3 linked regions of the Arabidopsis thaliana genome follow. The protein of the gene in region 1 binds, or shares a complex with, the protein of each later gene. Each region holds a gene or a part of one and is shown in the gene's direction. Other genes may lie near its edges.

What was found.
Region 2: the proteins of emb2458 (region 1) and FtsHi1 are in contact, whole or in part, in a cryo-EM structure (PDB 8XKV), measured with the Arabidopsis thaliana proteins. Residues at the interface, in NP_187084.6 of Arabidopsis thaliana: Arg815 (codon at 5,974), Gln902 (codon at 6,455), Lys934 (codon at 6,687), Glu938 (codon at 6,699), Arg942 (codon at 6,711), Pro943 (codon at 6,714), Asp947 (codon at 6,726), Arg948 (codon at 6,729), Thr1148 (codon at 7,633), Glu1149 (codon at 7,636), Ser1150 (codon at 7,639), Arg1151 (codon at 7,642), Ser1152 (codon at 7,645), Leu1154 (codon at 7,651), Gln1198 (codon at 7,872), Tyr1199 (codon at 7,875), Trp1201 (codon at 7,881), Asp1205 (codon at 7,893), Pro1207 (codon at 7,899), Ala1208 (codon at 7,902), Val1209 (codon at 7,905), Tyr1210 (codon at 7,908), Tyr1211 (codon at 7,911), Ala1212 (codon at 7,914), Asn1214 (codon at 7,920), Ala1215 (codon at 7,923), Val1216 (codon at 8,125), Ser1217 (codon at 8,128), Ala1218 (codon at 8,131), Leu1219 (codon at 8,134); in NP_567691.1 of Arabidopsis thaliana: Ser497 (codon at 4,715), Val500 (codon at 4,724), Glu653 (codon at 5,690), Leu656 (codon at 5,699), Arg660 (codon at 5,711), Leu678 (codon at 5,765), Arg684 (codon at 5,783), Gln692 (codon at 5,807), Gly693 (codon at 5,810), Arg696 (codon at 5,819), Arg697 (codon at 5,822), Gly731 (codon at 5,924), Gln732 (codon at 5,927), Leu763 (codon at 6,112), Arg766 (codon at 6,121), Val771 (codon at 6,136), Ile772 (codon at 6,139), Tyr773 (codon at 6,142), Gly774 (codon at 6,145), Ser775 (codon at 6,148), Asp776 (codon at 6,151), Thr777 (codon at 6,154), Ser778 (codon at 6,157), Lys779 (codon at 6,160), Ala780 (codon at 6,163), Val782 (codon at 6,169), Leu785 (codon at 6,178), Ser786 (codon at 6,181), Ser789 (codon at 6,190), Arg793 (codon at 6,202).
Region 3: the proteins of emb2458 (region 1) and AT5G22210 are in contact, whole or in part, in a cryo-EM structure (PDB 8XKU), measured with the Arabidopsis thaliana proteins. Residues at the interface, in NP_187084.6 of Arabidopsis thaliana: Lys294 (codon at 3,340), Phe302 (codon at 3,364), Arg305 (codon at 3,373), Phe309 (codon at 3,385), Arg404 (codon at 4,021), Ile405 (codon at 4,024), Arg408 (codon at 4,033), Glu424 (codon at 4,081), Phe431 (codon at 4,102), Pro432 (codon at 4,105), Glu435 (codon at 4,114), Val436 (codon at 4,117), Val446 (codon at 4,147), Val447 (codon at 4,150), Pro448 (codon at 4,153), Lys449 (codon at 4,156), Gln452 (codon at 4,165), Leu453 (codon at 4,168), His454 (codon at 4,171), Arg456 (codon at 4,177), His457 (codon at 4,180), Gly458 (codon at 4,183), Trp459 (codon at 4,186), Lys461 (codon at 4,192), Trp462 (codon at 4,195), Gln463 (codon at 4,198), Ala466 (codon at 4,207), Lys467 (codon at 4,210), Leu470 (codon at 4,219), Lys471 (codon at 4,222); in NP_680207.1 of Arabidopsis thaliana: Glu14, Ile15, His16, Lys18, Val20, Pro21, Pro22, Leu23, Asp24, Val26, Phe27, Leu28, Trp30, Leu31, Arg33, Arg37, Val38, His39, Phe41, Lys42, Pro43, Lys44, Asn45, Thr47, Arg48, Ala49, Ile50, Thr51, Pro52, Pro53.

What each region holds. Positions count from the first base shown.
Region 1 is NC_003074.8:1,147,296-1,155,801, reverse strand, and holds the start of emb2458 (FtsH extracellular protease family), read left to right. Parts: upstream 1-2,151; 5' UTR 2,152-2,460; coding exon 2,461-3,455; intron 3,456-3,806; coding exon 3,807-4,278; intron 4,279-4,722; coding exon 4,723-4,923; intron 4,924-4,997; coding exon 4,998-5,291; intron 5,292-5,372; coding exon 5,373-5,642; intron 5,643-5,763; coding exon 5,764-5,985; intron 5,986-6,059; coding exon 6,060-6,233; intron 6,234-6,379; coding exon 6,380-6,501; intron 6,502-6,637; coding exon 6,638-6,839; intron 6,840-7,046; coding exon 7,047-7,175; intron 7,176-7,272; coding exon 7,273-7,761; intron 7,762-7,850; coding exon 7,851-7,925; intron 7,926-8,124; coding exon 8,125-8,184; intron 8,185-8,379; coding exon 8,380-8,487; intron 8,488-8,506. Other genes in the region: AT3G04350 (vacuolar sorting-associated protein (DUF946)), read left to right, coding at 239-1,830. UniProt on the Arabidopsis thaliana protein: Required for plastid development during embryogenesis. Might be involved in chaperone functions or play a structural role in the thylakoid FtsH complex.
Region 2 is NC_003075.7:12,435,017-12,442,688, forward strand, and holds FtsHi1 (FtsH extracellular protease family), read left to right. Parts: upstream 1-2,091; coding exon 2,092-2,783; intron 2,784-2,877; coding exon 2,878-2,962; intron 2,963-3,125; coding exon 3,126-3,560; intron 3,561-3,644; coding exon 3,645-3,698; intron 3,699-3,791; coding exon 3,792-3,857; intron 3,858-4,118; coding exon 4,119-4,214; intron 4,215-4,654; coding exon 4,655-4,783; intron 4,784-4,863; coding exon 4,864-4,916; intron 4,917-5,033; coding exon 5,034-5,229; intron 5,230-5,402; coding exon 5,403-5,517; intron 5,518-5,654; coding exon 5,655-6,013; intron 6,014-6,105; coding exon 6,106-6,218; intron 6,219-6,306; coding exon 6,307-6,556; intron 6,557-6,627; coding exon 6,628-6,825; 3' UTR 6,826-7,014; downstream 7,015-7,672. Other genes in the region: AT4G23930 (Late embryogenesis abundant (LEA) hydroxyproline-rich glycoprotein family), read right to left, coding at 1,115-1,678; AT4G23950 (Galactose-binding protein), read left to right, coding at 7,281-7,491, 7,637-7,672. UniProt on the Arabidopsis thaliana protein: Functions in chloroplast biogenesis and chloroplast division. Required for plastid development during embryogenesis. Might be involved in chaperone functions or play a structural role in the thylakoid FtsH complex.
Region 3 is NC_003076.8:7,356,493-7,360,675, forward strand, and holds AT5G22210 (aspartyl/glutamyl-tRNA (Asn/Gln) amidotransferase subunit B), read left to right. Parts: upstream 1-2,285; 5' UTR 2,286-2,391; intron 2,392-3,041; 5' UTR 3,042-3,056; coding exon 3,057-3,299; 3' UTR 3,300-3,559; downstream 3,560-4,183. Other genes in the region: AT5G22200 (Late embryogenesis abundant (LEA) hydroxyproline-rich glycoprotein family), read left to right, coding at 62-379.

The sequences.
Region 1 (8,506 bases):
ATGGTATCATGTTATTTAATACTCTTCTATGGGACAAAAACTTAAGTTTTGTTTGATGGAAATAAATCTCGGTATTGGTAATGAATTTGAAGCTGATGAATTTGTACTTTTGAATGCATCAAGCTAAGCGCCTTCTTGTTTTACTGTTTCAATCTATCAATTGTTCTATATAGAAGTGTTTTTAGTTCTTTGATGCTGAAAGTGATGTACTTTTCTGTTACTGTCAATCTCTTTGCAGGTAAAGGTTTTGCCACAGGAAGAATTAGCCTAGGAGAAATAGAAGTGGTGAAAATCACCAAGTTCCATCGAGTTTGGAGCTCTGATTCATCACACGACAAATCAAAACGTGCTACATTTTACAGAGCCGATGACATTCCAGAAGGATTCCATTGCCTTGGTCACTATTGCCAGCCAACCGATCAGCCCTTGAGAGGTTATGTACTTGCAGCTCGGACTAGCAAAGCCGTCAATGCTGATGATTTCCCGCCCTTGAAAAAGCCTGTGAGTTATTCTTTAGTTTGGAGTGCAGATTCAGAGAAAAATGGTGGTGGTTATTTCTGGCTACCTAATCCTCCGGTTGGTTACAGAGCAATGGGAGTTATTGTAACCCATGAACCAGGTGAACCTGAAACAGAGGAGGTCAGATGTGTAAGAGAGGATCTTACAGAGAGTTGTGAAACCTCTGAGATGATACTTGAGGTGGGTTCTTCGAAGAAGTCGAACGGCTCTAGTTCTCCTTTTAGTGTATGGAGCACCCGACCTTGCGAGAGAGGGATGCTGTCACAAGGTGTCGCTGTTGGGTCATTCTTTTGCTGCACGTATGATCTGTCGTCTGAGAGGACGGTCCCTGATATCGGATGCTTAAAGAATCTTGATCCGACCTTACACGCGATGCCAAATCTCGACCAGGTCCATGCGGTTATCGAACACTTCGGACCAACAGTCTACTTCCACCCAGAAGAGGCTTACATGCCTTCATCTGTACAATGGTTCTTTAAGAATGGAGCTTTGTTGTACCGGTCAGGGAAATCAGAAGGTCAACCGATTAACTCCACGGGCTCGAACTTGCCTGCTGGAGGATGCAATGATATGGATTTCTGGATAGATCTTCCTGAAGACGAAGAAGCAAAGAGTAATCTCAAGAAAGGAAACCTTGAAAGCTCGGAGCTTTACGTTCATGTGAAACCAGCACTTGGTGGAACTTTCACCGACATCGTTATGTGGATTTTCTGCCCCTTTAATGGCCCAGCCACGCTCAAAATCGGCCTATTCACGTTACCTATGACCCGCATAGGAGAACATGTCGGTGATTGGGAACATTTCACTTTCCGCATATGTAATTTCTCTGGTGAGCTTTGGCAAATGTTCTTTTCTCAGCATAGTGGTGGTGGTTGGGTTGATGCATCAGATATTGAGTTTGTGAAAGATAACAAACCGGCTGTGTACTCATCTAAACACGGACATGCGAGTTTCCCTCATCCAGGAATGTACCTCCAAGGCTCGTCAAAGCTCGGGATTGGAGTCAGAAACGATGTTGCAAAAAGCAAGTACATTGTGGATTCAAGCCAAAGGTATGTGATAGTAGCAGCTGAGTATTTAGGTAAAGGAGCTGTGATAGAGCCGTGCTGGTTACAGTATATGAGAGAATGGGGTCCGACCATTGCATATGATTCAGGGTCTGAGATCAATAAGATCATGAATCTTCTTCCTTTGGTTGTTAGGTTCTCTATTGAGAACATTGTTGATTTGTTTCCCATTGCTCTTTATGGAGAAGAAGGTCCCACAGGGCCAAAGGAGAAAGATAACTGGGAAGGAGATGAGATGTGCTGAAAGAAGACAAACCTCTTTGTGATCAAGACGGTTTAATGGAAGATGAAGTCTCTTGTTGAATCGGAGGGTTTTGATCTCTACTCTACTAGTAATTGTGACTAATATGTAATTTACAGTATACTAGAATAGGGTTTGATCTTGGTGGTTGTAATTTGTTGATGTAAGACCTAAAACGCTGTGTTTGCGGCTGTAATCAGCTGCGACAGCTCATGAGCAATATGAATGATTGATTTTGTTGTACTGCTATCTTCTCGTATCTCTCTGTGTTCTTTACGCTATTGGTTAGATTGAATTCATAACCACCCCCAACTGTTCCGGTTTGACACATCGTTCCGGTTAGTGTGTAGTATTGGACGAAATCGGTTATTGATAATTCGGTTCCGATAATCGGTTTTAATAATGTGTATATTGTAAACTTGAACCGTTCTCTAGTCTCTATCTCTTTCTCTTTCTTCTGATAAACCTCTCGGCACTGCGCTGTGTAGTGAGCTTTCACTTCCGTCGTTAGCTGCAGTTTAAAATCCGGCGAATTGCGGACGGAGAATTCAATCATATAGCATTATTGAGGAGCTGAAATGGAGGTTGTGACAAAGATATGGTGTTGATTTTCACTTCGCCGTTATTGCTGCGATGGATTTCATTTCCGCTTCTTCCTTATCTTCACCCTTTTCCACACAGTTGTCTCCGATTTATTTGAGCTCAGGTATAGTATCGTTAAAGCCTAGACATCGAGTCAAAAATCGAAACTTTGGGTCTAGAGAATCCAATAATAAATCTAGGAAAATTGTGCCCATTAGAGGCTGCTTTGGTTTTTCCGGGAGTTTTTTGAGGTCGAAACAGTCTGATTACGGTAGTGAAGCTGTTTCGGAATCATTGAGATTATGTGGAGAGGGAAATGAGCTTGTGCTATCTTCCGAGTATAATAGCGCAAAGACGAGAGAGAGCGTAATACAGTTTGTTACCAAGCCTCTAGTTTACGCCTTGTTTTGTATTGCAATTGGACTTTCTCCGATTCGCTCTTTTCAAGCTCCAGCTTTAGCTGTGCCTTTCGTCAGTGATGTTATTTGGAAGAAAAAGAAAGAGAGAGTGAGAGAGAAAGAGGTGGTTTTGAAAGCAGTTGATCATGAGTTCTCGGATTATACTCGGAGATTGTTGGAGACAGTCTCGGTTTTACTGAAGACTATTGAGATAGTTAGAAAGGAAAATGGAGAGGTTGCTGAAGTGGGAGCGGCTTTGGATGCAGTTAAGGTGGAGAAGGAGAAACTGCAGAAGGAGATAATGAGTGGGTTATATCGTGATATGAGGCGGTTGAGGAAGGAGAGAGATTTGTTAATGAAACGAGCTGATAAAATTGTAGATGAGGCCCTAAGTTTGAAGAAACAGAGTGAAAAACTGTTGAGAAAAGGTGCTAGGGAGAAAATGGAGAAACTGGAAGAGAGTGTGGATATTATGGAGAGCGAGTACAATAAGATATGGGAAAGAATAGATGAGATTGATGATATCATTTTAAAGAAAGAGACAACAACATTGAGTTTTGGGGTTAGGGAGCTTATTTTCATTGAAAGAGAGTGTGTAGAGTTGGTTAAGAGCTTCAACCGAGAATTGAATCAAAAAAGTTTTGAAAGGTGATATCTCTAGCCATGATTTTAGCAGATATAATATTATTCTACCTTACCTATAGCTGAGATTTTGGTTGCCCTTTAATGAGGATATTTTAACAGTTGATTGTCATAAGCTCATCTTTTTGCAAGATTTCTCTTTGCATTCATCTTATTGCGTGCACTTCTAGCGGTGATGGTAATGTTGTATCTTTTACTTGTTAGATTACCAATTATCTTGTTTGTACTCCTGCACCTAGTCTAACTGTATCTTTTTGTTGGCTTTTATATATGTTTTTAACATGTCTATGCTGTTTTTCCTGTCGACATAAATGTTTCATGTTTCACTTACAAGATCAATTGATTTTCTGGTTGTAGTGTTCCTGAAAGCTCCATTACAAAACTCTCGAGGTCTGAGATTAAGCAGGAATTAGTGAACGCTCAAAGAAAGCACTTGGAACAAATGATACTGCCCAATGTTTTGGAACTAGAGGAGGTTGATCCCTTTTTCGATCGTGACTCAGTGGATTTTTCTCTACGCATCAAAAAACGCCTTGAGGAATCAAAAAAGCTGCAGAGAGATCTTCAGAATCGTATCAGAAAACGTATGAAAAAGTTTGGTGAAGAAAAGCTTTTTGTTCAAAAGACTCCAGAAGGTGAAGCTGTCAAGGGATTTCCTGAAGCAGAGGTGAAATGGATGTTTGGAGAGAAAGAGGTGGTTGTTCCGAAAGCTATCCAGCTCCATCTACGCCATGGTTGGAAAAAGTGGCAGGAAGAAGCAAAAGCCGATTTAAAACAGAAACTTTTGGAAGATGTTGATTTTGGCAAACAATATATTGCGCAGAGACAGGTAACTTTTGGCTTATGATATGAAGTACTAGCCCAAAAGTATGTGGTGTGTTTAATATGGTGGATGGAACAATGCTTTATGTTTTTCATGGTAGATAAATTACACTCTTAGCCTTGCGATTAGCATAATTAATCTATAGCTTTGTATTCTTGGGTGATGGAAACCTCAAGAATTGCCTTGGTGTTGGTAGGTTCTGAAGTTTTTTTTTTATATATATTGAATATGCAATTTCATGTGTTATCTTCTCGAGCTATAAAGTAAATCAGTTTACTTGGGCAAGTGAGAAGCACTTAATTTTTTTTTGGCTCGCTGTAATACGTAAAATGAGACAGTTTTAGTTGAAACCTTGTTGAAAAGTTTATGTACATATGTGTCTTTTGCAGAGTTTATTTTCCCATGTATTGATCATTCACCAATTAGTTAATGAATTTTTAAAATCTGAAGGAACAAGTTCTCCTGGATCGAGATAGAGTTGTTTCGAAGACTTGGTATAACGAAGACAAAAGTAGGTGGGAGATGGACCCTATGGCTGTTCCCTACGCAGTTTCCAGGAAGCTGATTGACAGTGCCAGGATTAGGCATGATTATGCTGTAATGTATGTTGCATTAAAAGGAGATGACAAGGAGTTTTACGTTGATATCAAGGTTGACCAGTTGAAGTCCTTCTCTATTTGATGGATTTTTAAGTTTAGGCTTTTAACTTTTGTCTATGGTTGTAGGAATATGAGATGCTATTTGAGAAATTTGGAGGGTTTGATGCTCTGTACCTCAAAATGCTTGCTTGTGGAATCCCAACTTCTGTTCATCTGATGTGGATACCCATGTCAGAGCTAAGTCTTCAACAACAGTTTCTGTTGGTTACAAGGGTGGTTTCTCGAGTCTTTAACGCATTGAGGAAGACTCAAGTTGTATCAAATGCGAAGGATACAGTATTAGAGAAAATAAGGAATATAAACGATGACATTATGATGGCGGTTGTGTTTCCAGTTATCGAATTTATCATTCCTTACCAGGTATAATGTACGCTCGCTGGATATTTTCCTCCTGTTTCCCTGTGTCTTTTCTTTTTGTTTTATGACTTTTTTCTGATACAGTTAAGGCTGCGTCTGGGAATGGCTTGGCCAGAAGAAATAGAACAGACTGTTGGCTCAACATGGTACTTACAATGGCAGTCTGAAGCAGAAATGAATTTCAAGTCCCGCAATACAGAAGATTTTCAGTGGTTCCTCTGGTTTCTAATTCGAAGTTCTATATACGGGTTTGTTTTGTATCACGTTTTCCGCTTTCTAAAAAGAAAGGTTCCAAGACTTCTTGGCTATGGACCCTTCCGCCGAGATCCCAACGTACGGAAATTCTGGAGAGTGGTATGTAACTTTTCTTTCTCCTTATGCTTCTCTTTCCAACACTCTCAATTTGCGTGAGCAGTAGTATTGTAGCTAGTACACTTACAGTTGATTACTAAAATCAGTTTGATTTGTTTTGCAGAAATCATATTTCACTTATAGAAAAAGGAGAATCAAACAAAAGAGAAAGGCTGGAATCGACCCCATAAAAACTGCATTCGACAGAATGAAGAGAGTGAAAAATCCACCTATCCCATTAAAGAACTTTGCTAGTATTGAGTCTATGAGAGAAGAAATCAACGAGGTTGTGGCATTTTTACAGAATCCAAAGGCATTTCAGGAGATGGGAGCCCGCGCACCTCGGGTATGTTGCTTTACGGTTGTGTGCTTATTTTGTGGGATAGTGTCCGATTGTAAGCATGCTTATTCACGCTGCAGGGCGTTCTTATTGTGGGTGAGAGAGGAACGGGAAAGACGTCACTGGCGCTCGCTATAGCAGCCGAAGCAAGAGTGCCTGTTGTCAATGTTGAAGCTCAAGAGTTGGAAGCTGGGCTATGGGTTGGTCAAAGTGCAGCGAATGTCAGGGAACTCTTTCAAACTGCAAGAGACTTGGTTAGCTTCTTTGCCTCAGATTTTTTTGTTGATTCATTCATTTTCATAGATATTAAATTTTGAGTTCTCATGATATTCAGGTTCCGAATCTTATGTACATCAGTTTCAATGTCATCTTATGTTCTGATGTTTACTGTGATGACTAGGCACCTGTAATCATTTTTGTGGAGGATTTTGACCTCTTTGCTGGTGTACGCGGGAAGTTTGTACATACAAAACAGCAAGATCATGAATCGTTCATTAATCAGCTTCTTGTTGAACTTGATGGGTAAGAGCCAATTTCTATGTTGATTAAAAATTAAGACCAGATTTGAAGCATTCATAGCGGTTTCTCAAAGTAGCATTCTCCTTTTTCCGGTTGACTTTTCTGATGTCATTCCACTTTATAATTTCTACTTATGCAGCTTTGAGAAACAGGATGGCGTAGTTTTGATGGCGACGACACGAAATCATAAGCAAATTGATGAGGCGCTAAGAAGGCCAGGTCGTATGGATAGAGTATTCCATCTTCAAAGTCCAACTGAAATGGAAAGGGAGAGGATTTTACACAACGCTGCAGAAGAAACCATGGACCGAGAACTCGTTGATCTAGTGGATTGGCGTAAGGTGATCTTAAGCTTTGCAAAGTTGTTTATATGTGCTAGCGATTATATATGTTTTTACCTATTGTCTATTTTCTTTTGCACCTCCAAAGTTTTGATGGTTCATTTCTATTATGGTTGTGAGTACTATATCATGTCGTGTTTCTTCTTTCTTGGGTTTATCTCTCTGTAGTTCTGTTCCACTATTTTAATAACCAGTTCATGGTTACAGGTTTCAGAGAAGACAACTTTATTAAGACCGATAGAACTGAAACTTGTTCCAATGGCTCTCGAAAGTAGTGCCTTCAGAAGCAAATTTCTGGACACTGACGAACTTCTGAGTTACGTTAGCTGGTTTGCGGTAAGAAATTTGTCATTTTCGTCGCCTAAGGTCAAACCATTTTTTGTTCATTTCTTAGTATGGTTTCATCAGGTGATTTCTTTCTCTTTTCTGACAGACGTTTAGCCATATAGTGCCCCCATGGCTGCGAAAAACTAAAGTTGCAAAGACAATGGGCAAAATGCTTGTGAATCATCTTGGACTTAACTTAACCAAAGATGATTTGGAGAATGTGGTTGATCTGATGGAACCATATGGACAAATAAGTAATGGAATAGAACTTTTGAATCCTACTGTTGATTGGACGAGGGAGACAAAGTTCCCACATGCTGTCTGGGCGGCTGGTCGTGCTCTCATCACACTTCTAATACCAAACTTTGATGTTGTGGAAAATCTTTGGCTTGAGCCTAGTTCCTGGGAAGGAATTGGGTGTACAAAAATCACCAAGGTCACAAGTGGAGGCTCCGCGATTGGGAACACGGAATCAAGATCATATCTTGAAAAGAAGCTCGTTTTCTGCTTTGGATCTCACATTGCATCCCAAATGCTTCTTCCTCCCGGAGATGAAAATTTTCTTTCTTCTTCAGAAATAACTAAAGCGCAGGAGGTAAACTCTGTCTACTGTTTTGCGGTATGCTGTCATCTACATACTTAATGTTTCGTTTCCCCATGATTATTATTTGTGTCTTGCAACAGATTGCAACACGTATGGTGCTTCAATATGGCTGGGGACCCGATGACAGTCCTGCAGTATACTATGCTACTAACGCGGTAACCTTCATTGTTTTACTTGAAATTGGTTCCATTCCAAGACTAAATGTCTGATACCACTGAACCAACATGTTGAATACTGAACATGATGATTCGATCTTACATACAGTTTGCATTCATTCTGATGTCTCATCTGGTCAGTTGATTGACCTTATACTTTTTTTTCTTTCTGTTTGGTTTATTTGATTCGAATGAGCAGGTTTCAGCTTTGAGTATGGGGAACAATCACGAATATGAAATGGCGGGTAAAGTTGAAAAGGTTTGTTTTGCTCTCTAGTTTCCAATACGTTCTTAATATCTGCCAGTGTCATTGGTGCCTCTCTAGTGTTCGCAATTTTCTATCTTCAGCTTCGCTTTTCAGTTGGTTCAAGCATTGTCCAAGGCTAAAATACATAACCTCTCTAATGTCATCTTGTTCCTCTACAGTCTCTAATGTCATCTTATTCCTTTACAGATTTATGACTTAGCGTACGAAAAGGCAAAGGGAATGCTCCTTAAAAATCGACGTGTCCTTGAGAAAATCACAGAGGAGCTACTCGAATTTGAGATTTTAACTCATAAGGTACGAAGTTTGGATCAAC
Region 2 (7,672 bases), on another chromosome or scaffold:
AGAGTAAATAAGAAGAAGACGGAGAAAGCGGTAAAAAAAGATAGATAAGAAAACATAAGTATATGTCTTAAATAAGAAATAATAAATATAGGTTATGGTAGGCCTTGGCAAAAAAACCGTACCTGAAAACTCGAACCGAAACCGATTCGAAAAACCGGTTTGGGGCGGGTACGTATATTAGCTATTTACCCTATTGGGTTTTAGATTGTTGTACCCGTGGATATAGGATAATAGCCGACCCAAACCCGATACCCGAAAGGGTATCAACTTATCCGAAATTACATATACTTATTCATAGATTTATACATATAAAAATTTATTTTATATTTAATATTTGAACCAAATACATTTATATCCAAATATCCAATAATAATTACTAAAAACTAAATGTACCTATATTTAAATACTTAATACTAAATATTTTATATATGCAAAATATTCGTAAATGTTTTGGATATTTGGACAAAATTTCGGTTATTCGGGTAAAATTCAGATATTTGGGTAAAATTTTCGACTATTTGGGTATAATTTCGGGTATTTGGGTAAAATTATCGACTATTTGGGTACAAATTTCGGGTATTTGGTACAATTTCGGGTATTTGGGTAAATTTTTGGGTATTTGGATATAAAATACATGAATCCGAAGGATACCCGTTTTTTTCGAGTATTTAACGGTTCTAAAATTCTATACCCGAACCAACCCAAACCCGATTAGAACCGAACCACCGAAGTTTTCTATTTACTCTATTGGATTCTAGAACAGTATACCCGTACCCGATCGGGTATTACCCGAACCGACCCGCATACCCGAATACCCGGCCCTACGTTATGGCTATAAGTGTATTTACTATACAGAAAACGTTAATCCAAACAAAGAATATGGAAAGCATGCATATCTATGTAGACTAATGTTAAGGCTATTACAATTGGCAACCGAAAATTTCGTGTTAAGTTGTAATTTAGTATACGTACAAAATCTAAAAGTACAATAGCTTTGTATTAATATTTGCAATTTTCTAACTTGATGGATTCAGAAAAGAACCCAAGAGGTTTCACTTCACATACATGTATTTTTGAAAAATAACCATGTCACTTTTACAATTGTTTTTTAATATTAACAACGGACGGCTACGATGGAACCATCACTCGAGGAAATCGCGATCCTACAATTACATTTAGCCGCGATTCGGTGAGTAAACAAACCGAGAACCCGAACCCGACCCGCCATCTCCAGCTTCGACTCTATTTCCACTGTTGACCCGGACCGATCCGAATTTTGAAATTGGGCGGCGGAGATTTGAGAACTAGAGGCCGCCGCGAGAGGAAACGACTGAACGGAGAAAGTAGCTAACATACGCTTGGTTCGACCCGATTCGATCTCACCAGCAGGTACGAAGGTATAACCGATCCGGTTTCCATAGTAAAAGAGCTGGATTACATTGTTGTAGTGTGAGAAAGCTGCGCGGTTAGGGTTTCTAACGGCGGAGAATTGAGAAAAGGTGAAACTAACGGAGCTATTAGCGACGGAGAATGAAGGAACCTTGACGCTAGTGACGGAGATCTCAGGATCTCTCGGTCTAAAGACTGTGAGATAAACAGTAAGTGCGGCGATGATTAAGAAGACTATGAAGAGCGTGGCGACGGCGCATGAAGCGAGGTTTGAACAAGACTTCGACATTTCTCGGTGGAGATGTTTGGTAGCGATGATTTAAGTGTTCACTAGTTGGGATAAAGAGTTTATTTTTGGTTAAAGGGAAAGCAAAACGACGTGTAAAAGCAAAAGGATGTTTTGTTTGGACATAGTGATAACGTTACAACGGAGTTTGGACTTAAGTGTGTGTGATGCAGCGAAGGTGGCCGACTAGAGCTAAATAAATTATTTTAGTGAACAAACAATGTACCCGGAACAGAAACCGGGTTTCGAAGTCGGGTCGAATTGTTGTAATTTAGAGCTAACAGAACAAAAACCTCCTGAGATTGAATAAACCTCCGATTGCTCTATTTTCTTATCCAGAACGAAGAGAGATTCAAATTTCGCAATGCGATTCTAGTGAAGCTTCTTTTTCTTCTGTACATGGTTATCGTCGTAAAATGGCGTCTATAGACAATGTTTTCTCACTCGGTACTCGGTTCTCAATCCCAGAAAACCCCAAGAGATCGATATTGAAACACGCGACTACATCGAGTTTCTCCGCGAGAACTCAAACTCGATGGAGAGCTCCAATTCTGCGTCGGTCGTTTACAGTTTTGTGCGAATTGAAAACTGGGTCATCTAGCTCCGGCGAGACGAACAATTCCCCTGCTGCTGACGATTTCGTAACTAGGGTTTTGAAGGAGAATCCTAGCCAAGTGGAACCTCGTTACCGAGTTGGTGATAAGCTGTATAATCTGAAGGAGAGAGAAGATTTAAGCAAAGGCACCAATGCGGCGACGGGTGCGTTTGAATTTATCAAAAGGAAGTTTGATTCGAAGAAGAAAACAGAGACAGACAAAAGCGAAGAGTCTGTTTATTTGAGTGATATTTTGAGGGAGTACAAAGGAAAGCTTTATGTTCCGGAGCAAGTTTTTGGGCCAGAGTTATCTGAAGAAGAGGAGTTTGAGAAAAATGTGAAAGATTTACCAAAGATGAGTTTGGAAGATTTTAGAAAAGCTATGGAGAATGATAAAGTTAAGCTGCTTACATCGAAGGAAGTTTCTGGTGTTTCTTATACGAGTGGCTATAGAGGTTTTATTGTTGATCTTAAGGAGATTCCTGGAGTCAAGAGCTTACAGAGAACCAAATGGTGAATTACTAGGATTAAGAAGAAGAATAAAAGTTTTAATTTTGATGTATGGAGAATATTGGTATGATTTTCTTATTGATCTGTTTCTTGATAGGTCAATGAAGCTTGAAGTTGGAGAAGCTCAAGCTCTTCTGAAAGAATACACGGGTCCGCAGTACGAAATTGAAAGGCACATGACGGTGATCACGCTTTTGTTCATTTAGATCTTATCTACTAGATTATATAATCTAATGTCCTCAATATTTTTGTATTGTGTTGGTTAGGAATTTTTCATAACCTATTCACTAGGTTGACAAACAGATCTATTTTGTTCTGTTATTGACTGAGTTTATATGTTTGCAGTCTTGGGTTGGAAAAGTGGCGGACTTCCCAAACCCTGTTGCGTCTTCTATTTCAAGTAGAGTGATGGTTGAGCTGGGAATGGTGACAGCAGTTATTGCTGCAGCCGCAGTTGTTGTTGGAGGATTCTTAGCCTCAGCTGTTTTTGCAGTCACTAGTTTCGCCTTTGTCACTACAGTATATGTTGTTTGGCCTATAGCAAAGCCATTCCTCAAACTTTTTGTTGGCGTCTTCCTTGGTGTTCTTGAAAAATCATGGGATTACATTGTTGATGTTCTCGCCGATGGGGGCATCTTCTCAAGGATTTCTGATTTCTATACATTTGGTGGTGTAGCATCAAGTCTGGAGATGCTCAAACCAATCCTACTTGTTGTCATGACTATGGTTCTTCTTGTTCGTTTCACACTGTCACGGAGACCAAAGAACTTTAGGAAATGGGTATAATACTTTAATCACTCAACACTTTTTTGCAGAATCTATTGATATCGCTTGCGCCCTCAATCACTTCAAATGTTTTTGCAGGATTTATGGCAAGGGATTGCTTTTTCTCAGTCTAAAGCAGAAGCTCGTGTTGATGTAAGTTTCTAACCATTACTCCTATATGCATGTTTCTTCAGTTCTAATACTTTTTTGGTTGAGTTTTTTATGACTTCAATGATTATATTTCAGGGTTCAACCGGTGTTAAATTCGCTGATGTTGCAGGGATTGATGAAGCAGTTGATGAACTTCAAGAGGTATCGCTTGACCAAATTTCTCGTGCAATTACTTTAGTATGCTTGCGCCAGTTCTTCCCTGAGTATGGATCTCTTGTTTTATTATGTGCATTCTTGGTTAGCTTAGCCTCTAAAACCCTTACCATTAGGGCTTCACTGCTACCCCATCAAGTATAAAGTTGCATGACATTATTTCGTTGAATCTTGGAAGCTCGAGAGAAACCGGGATCTGAAGCTTACTAACCTCTTAGTCTCATTACGATTATCTCATTTTCTTGATAGCTTGTAAAGTACTTGAAGAATCCCGACCTGTTTGATAAAATGGGAATTAAACCTCCCCATGGAGTTCTTCTGGAGGGTCCCCCTGGTTGTGGCAAGGTATGTGTAACCATCTATGCTAATGCCAATCGAAAAGATTTATTGTTAAGTATTGAATAGTATTTTTGTAGCAGCATTATACTTTAGAATACTAAGAAATACTATAGATAATCAAACATGCAGTGGTGCCTGTTGAGATCAATTCTGCTGAGGTTGATGGTTGTATTTCAGAGTATGCTGAGTGTTTGGCAATATCATCACTACTCCTTCAACTTAAACCTGAAATTTGTCTTAAAAAAGTTTTGAATGTTTAGTTGCTATTAACAAGTTATGATTGATTCCTATTCTCGATTGAGATCTTATAAAATCTCAATGTTTTATACAATTGTCAATGATCAGTTTACCTCTTATTGTAGTCGATTAGCTTTATCTACAAGGATCTTTTGACAACCCAGTTGCTAGCAATATAGAGCCTAACCTAACCTGATTTGCTTTCGTAGACACTCGTTGCAAAAGCCATTGCGGGGGAAGCTGGTGTACCGTTCTACCAAATGGCAGGATCTGAATTCGTCGAAGTTCTTGTTGGAGTTGGGTCAGCTCGTATCAGAGATCTGTTTAAAAGAGCTAAGGTGATTGGACATATGTGTATTTATACATTTCTGTGCAGAGATGTTAAATAGTATTTGATGATGTCTATGTCCTTGTGCAGGTAAACAAGCCATCCGTTATTTTCATCGATGAAATTGATGCCTTAGCAACTCGGTATACAATATTTTCGTCCCTTGTATCTAGATTTTGATATACTACCTTCCTTGCATAATTTTTCAACTTGAGACGGAGTTTAACTGATATCGCTCTTTATATTTTGGTATTCGTTAGACGTCAAGGGATTTTCAAGGAAAACTCAGACCAGTTGTACAATGCGGCCACACAAGAAAGAGAAACCACATTGAACCAGCTACTCATCGAGCTTGATGGTTTTGACACAGGCAAAGGTGTGATTTTCTTGGGTGCCACCAATCGCAGAGATTTGTTAGACCCTGCTCTTCTACGTCCAGGTCGATTTGATCGAAAGGTTTGTGATTAACAAAATCTAGACACTAAATCTTCTGTTCTCAAATTTTTGATAGCAGTTATTCGAATTAATAAACAACCAAACGACAATCGCAAGCCATTTGAATTTATCTTGCATTAATTTTGTAGACTTAAGAGTACCGGATAGACCGTTAAAAATAATCTTCTTATCAGATAAGAGTCCGTCCCCCTAATGCGAAAGGGAGATTGGATATTCTGAAGATTCATGCCAGCAAAGTCAAGATGTCGGATTCTGTTGACTTATCATCTTATGCAAGTAACTTACCAGGTATAAAATCTACAATTGATGTTGCAAAGAATATTTGTTATGCTCATGGTGTACCTTTTCCCATAGACAACTTATGTGTTTGAACGTATTGGCCTGTATAAAACTTTGATTAAAGTAATTGTTTATATCAATTACAGGATGGTCCGGAGCAAAACTGGCACAGTTGGTTCAAGAGGCTGCTCTTGTAGCTGTCAGGAAAACGCATAACTCGATTCTTCAATCAGACATGGACGACGCTGTGGACCGACTCACTGTTGGTCCGACACGTATTGGTTTAGAATTGGGACATCAAGGTCAGTGTCGTAGAGCCACAACTGAAGTCGGAGTGGCAATCACTTCACATCTTTTATTGCGGTATGAGAATGCAAAGATTGAGCGGTGCGATCGCGTTTCTATCATTCCTCGTGGTCAGACACTGTCTCAAGTTGTGTTTCATCGGCTTGATGATGAGTCCTACATGTTTGGTCGTCTTCCACAACTGCTTCATCGTCTTCAGGTGCTTCTTTTTCTCTATTAAAAAAACTCTTCACTCATTTCTCTAATATTCGATGTTACGAGTTTATTATACTTCTAAAATTTCTATTTCAGGTCTTGCTCGGAGGAAGAGCTGCAGAAGAAGTGATCTACGGTTCAGATACTTCAAAGGCATCAGTCGATTATCTCTCTGACGCCTCATGGCTAGCTCGTAAAATCTTAACCATGTGAGAGGCCCAATTTTGCATATTTTCACATTCCCCTTTAAAGTAAAAGCTTCTTCTTACTCAAGACTTATATATATTTGGATTTCAGATGGAACCTGGAGAACCCAATGGTGATACATGGCGAACCACCACCATGGAGAAAGAGACCTCAGTTCGTGGGACCACGCTTAGACTTTGAAGGATCTCTCTATGACGACTATGACCTCGTCGAGCCGCCAGTTAACTTCAACATGGATGATGAAGTCGCACATAGAAGCGAAGAACTCATTAGCCAGATGTATAACAAAACAGTTTCTCTCCTCAGGCAAAACCAAACCGCTCTCCTCAAAACCGTTAAGGTAATTTCAAACATTTAACCGCAATTGCGTTTTCGTTTGATTTGTTCATACTTTTATTTTCCCATGTGTAGGTTCTATTGAACCAGAAAGAGATAAGTGGAGAAGCAATAGACTTCATACTTGACCATTACCCTCCTCAGACTCCGTTAAATTCTCTCTTACAAGAGCAAAATCCGGGAAGTCTTCCTTTTGTCCCTGAACATCTCCGGCGTGAATCCGGCGACTTTGTCCTTGTTAATCACTCTACCGACGTCAATGCTCAAGTATGATTCCGGCGTCCCAGAGACATCAAATCACTAAGCTTAGGTTTATTCATTGTCCGTCATTGTAACTTCGACTCAATCTCTGAAGTTTCGGACAGTTAAATTTACAGAAATAAAGAAAAAAACTTGGGTCAAAGACACTTCTTTGATTTGCTAACAATAGATTAGACAAACTTAAGTATAAATTTAGAAACAAAAAAAGTTTTAATTCCGAGGAAATCGACGGACAAAAAGTTTGGTTCTTTGTTTCAAACCACACAAGACAGCAACAACACGAGTCATGCACTCTCTTTCTTACCTTTTTTCTTCTTCTTCATCCGTCTTCTTTTGCTCTTGTTCCTCGTGCCCTCTTCTCGGTTTCTACAGATACAGGTCATAGTCATACAACCAACGATCTCTCTTGACTCTCTCCATCTGTGCATGTCACACACGAGTATAGATCTCTTCTCTGCTTTATAGATATGGCGAGGCGCGGAAGCTGTTCGACGATATGCCTGAATGAAAAATTGCAAAGGTTTCGAATTGTCAGAATCTCCGACAAGGCTGATAATTTTAATTCCAGAAGCGGCAGCTTCTTCGAGCGTTCTATCTCTCTCGTTCTCTTACTCTGGTGCTTCCTCTTCCTCGTCTACTCCAAGCTTGGCCAAAGCCATGATGATTATGGTAATGCAGGTAAGTGTTCTTCCTTGTTTGAGAGAGATTCCGTTATCATTTCAAATGTTAATTAAGGAAACAAATTTAGGGTCTTTTAACTTGGGGGGTATATTCCAGAGATTGCTATATTGTGTTCCTCTGAAGAAATCAATTTATTTTGTAGATAGAATTGGGAATTACACTGATGGATCAGTCTCAA
Region 3 (4,183 bases), on another chromosome or scaffold:
ATCTTCTAAGCATTTACGTGTTAATGTAATAATTCTAACTTTAGTTTTCCCTATTATTTAGGTAACGTTGGCGAGGCTCTTGCCGTCAACGTATCAAGGACATCTGGAAGTAACGGTGTGGTCACCATTTCTGATTGGCTCCGCCGTGCCGGTGGCTCCTTACCTATCTTCGGCATTGAACGAAGACTTATTCGCCGGGTTGGTGCTTCTCAACATCAAAATAGACGGTTGGGTTAGGTGGAAAGTGGGCTCGTGGGTCTCTGGCAGTTATCGCCTCCACGTTAACTGTCCTGCGTTCATTACCGTCACCGGAAAGTTAACCGGCACCGGTCCGGCGATCAAGTACCAGCTTGTTCAGCGATGTGCTGTTGACGTATGAAAAACAAGAAGAAGAATCTTTTTTTTTCTAGGGTGTTAAAGGAGATATAAAGGTAAACTATAGGGCTGTAGCAAATTGTTGTTGATTTGACTTATTAGTTAATTTATCTAAAGGGTGTTAAAAGAAGGGAAGAACAAAACGCTAATTAAACTTGTTCGTTTAAGTAATGTCCATGGTACTAAAGCGAAAGCAGAACATATTAGTAAGTTCACATCATCACATGTATTCCTTTTTATCCAATTCAATTTTAATAGTAGATAGTTTTCATTAGGCAAACGTACGTATGATAAACAAATTTGATGATTTAGAACTACGAGATACTTATTTGAAGTACTCATGTTAAATTTACGTGGAGTTTTAGGCTTTTAGCATATATATAAAAGATTTAACACATGAATGAAATTAATCCTGACATTTTTAGTACTCTCCAGCCTGCACACGAAATTGTCAGGATTAGGCAAAGCTTACAATAGTGGTTTTATTTTCTAGTTGGATATGAATCACATGACAACGACTATGTAGCTGCTGGTATTTATGGAATGAAATATTTAAATATAAAACACACCAAAAATAAATTTTAAAAATTAGCAATCTGAATTATTTATTGTTAGAAACACTTTGTTTATGTTTTGGGATTATAAAATTTTGAAAAATGTACTACAAGATATTTTTGGATTTCATGGGGAAATGACAAAATCATATTTACACATTCACTTTGTCCTAAATATCAGTTCCTTTCCCTTGTTGCTATTGGTTTGTTGGGTACTAAAGTTTTAGCTCCAAAGACTTTTTGTTTGTCATGTGAACTTGAATGCGGACTTCTCGAGTAAATTAATTTCTTCCCAAAATTGTTTTCTTATGGATAACTTCAGCTTTGAAAATAATTATCCTACTTTCTATTATAATGTGCAAACATTATTAGTTTTCAATGAATTGACCTACAAGGTGCTGATTTGTAAGAGTTTAATAGTATTAAATAATCAAAACTGTTTCTGACATTTTAGAAACTCCAAACAGATTATAAAGTTGGCATTTTTAAAAAAGTAGCTATTTTCTAATTAATAACAAAAATATATTGTCATTGTTTTTTTCTTCTAAGAAATATTTTCAAAGGGCTTGTTGGCACAAACTCATGTTTGGTGTGCCTCGTATGAGGATTGATCAGTATTCTCAATCACACGTAAAAAAAATTAATATGTTAAAAATTAATTCTTAAAACCAATTTTTTGCAAGCAACAATTCAAAATCACAATCCCGATGATTCCTTAAATCATGTATTAACTTTATATGTTTTGATGCAACAATTGCAACAAGAAACATATATTTGATGGACACTTGAAAACAGATCCACCAAAAAAATCCCATCAAACCAAGTGTAGATTCTTAGTTATGTATGATTCTATGTAATAGATGATGACTTAATACATGTGAGTTGTGACATCAACGTCACGTTGGTGACGACATTTGCACACCTTACCGTGTGTGTAGCGTGAAGCACAATTATCCTTTTTCTTTTCCATAGAAAATGTTATCAATTTCTTTTCATAAATACAAAATTAACTGATCAACTTGATAACGTGAGAGATGAAAACAAACAAAAACAACACTTTTTTTTTTCTTTTCCTAACTTTAGAACTTTTGTGATTTCATAAAATTTTGGTTTTACAAATTCATAAAGCAAAAAAAGGAAAAAAAGATGATTACTATAGCGAATATTCGTCAACAAACTTAGTCACTTTGCAACTAAACCCACACTTGTAGTCTCTGTAGAGTGTAGTTCACCTTTTTGAGCATTCGTCGCTATGTTTCCACATTTAAACCATAACAGTTGGCCCAAAGAAAAAGTGAAAGCTAATGGGCTTTTTATGTTACTAGGCTTAACCCAGAAAATGACATACAGCTAGCGATACGACATTGGTTTAGCTCTGCAAAACGCTCTATAGTGTCTGTCTGGTCAGAAATTCTTCGACTCACTTTCGGTTTCTGATGTTTTGTCTCTCTGATTGAAAAAGGTAAAATCTCTTGAATCTATATCATATCGCTAAGCTTAATTTGCTGGCTAGGATTTTACCTGATTTTTTGGGTATATAGTGATGATAGAAATTTGAAGTAATTTCTCCAGTTTTCTCATTGATTTAGGGGTTTTAAATGTAGACTTAGTATTCATGAATGAGTTGATTTCTAATTGATATTATCATGTTAATCATCTTGAAGAATTGACCTTGAATTGGTGGTTCATAGATGTCTCATCTTGTACAATTTATTTGCTCGAGGATCTTATGATTCTTGGACATAGTGGAACAAAGATAGCTTTAAAAATGGACGCTGAGATGATTACTTGGTTGATGTATAATAGTTTGGTCTCTTAATTAAGGTTTTGATGGTCCTTAAGGTTAGTGTATAGCTTCTATAGAACTTTTTAGTCTCTCCTTTTAGATGGTTATGACGAATTGACGATTGTGTTATTCACGAGATAATTTGCATCCGAACATGTAAATGTTACACACTTGCAATATTGGTGTGCATGGAGAAATTATAGATTGTGTTAAGTGTTAATCCCAAAATGCATCTGCTAAAAGTGTTGCATAATCATCTTGTTGACTAGATAACTTGTTTTTGTGGTTTGGACAATGTGACGATACTATATATGATGTATGTAAAGATCGGGTTTTGCAAGATGGGAAACAAAGCTACAACGGTGAAAGAAGAACGCGAAGAGATCCATTTGAAGATTGTACCTCCATTGGACAAAGTTTTTCTGCGTTGGCTCGCAAGAGATCTCCAGAGAGTTCATGGATTCAAACCGAAGAACAACACTCGTGCGATCACTCCTCCAGATAGCTACATCGAGTTTATGCGGTTAAATGGATCGCTTGATGTAGATTTAGATGACCCTGATCTTGCCCATTTGTTCAAGTAAAAAGGGGTTCTTCTATTGTTGTCTCTGTTTGTTATGTATGAAGCTTTCAAAGTCTTAGTATCTTTTTTGATTACTCATACAGTCATACTTAAAGCTTGTGTTTTGGAAGCTCAGTCTATAAATATATATTATCTTCTCTAAACAGTATAGCATTCATAAGAGATCCAAGTGTCTGCATTCAGACGACACATGTTTCTATTGTCTTGGTGCTATGATTTGGAATCCCTATGTTTCGAGGTTCCATTTAAAAAAGTTGTTAAATGATGAGACACTCATGAGCATAATTTTCATCAATATAGTTTTGCCTCACCTATGAATTAAAAACAAAAAAACGTATAAGTTCGACAGATTTTGACGATAATTGCTCACACTTAACGCGTGTAACGGATGCTGCAACAGTTTGATGAAATTATTATGCTCCACTTCTTAACATGAATAAATCCAAAATTCATTTTTTTCCCCTCAATCTCAAGGAAATAAAACTGTATCCAAATTAGTTACATAGCTTTATTAACTTCGTTGACTTTAAAAAAAAAAAAACTTACTTAAAATTTTATAATTTTGTATTATATATAAAAATAGGATTATTATTATTTAGTAGAGAGATATTGGTAAAAAGATTTGTGTACAAAGAGAGAGATAAAGAGCGCTAATTCCCTCCACATCAGTATTCAGAACCAAACGCAACTCATTCCCTCGTTTTCTCTCTTCCTCTTCCACCGTCTCTTTTTTTTTTTTTTTTTATAATCCTTCCTCTTCTTCATCTTCTTCTCCTCTCCCGCTTTTTTTCGATTCGCCGATCTCTTCACATTCTCTTCCCGGAATCTCCGTAATTCCCGCCGTAGATCTGCTTCTTAATCGTTATTGGGATCTCTGCTTACCGG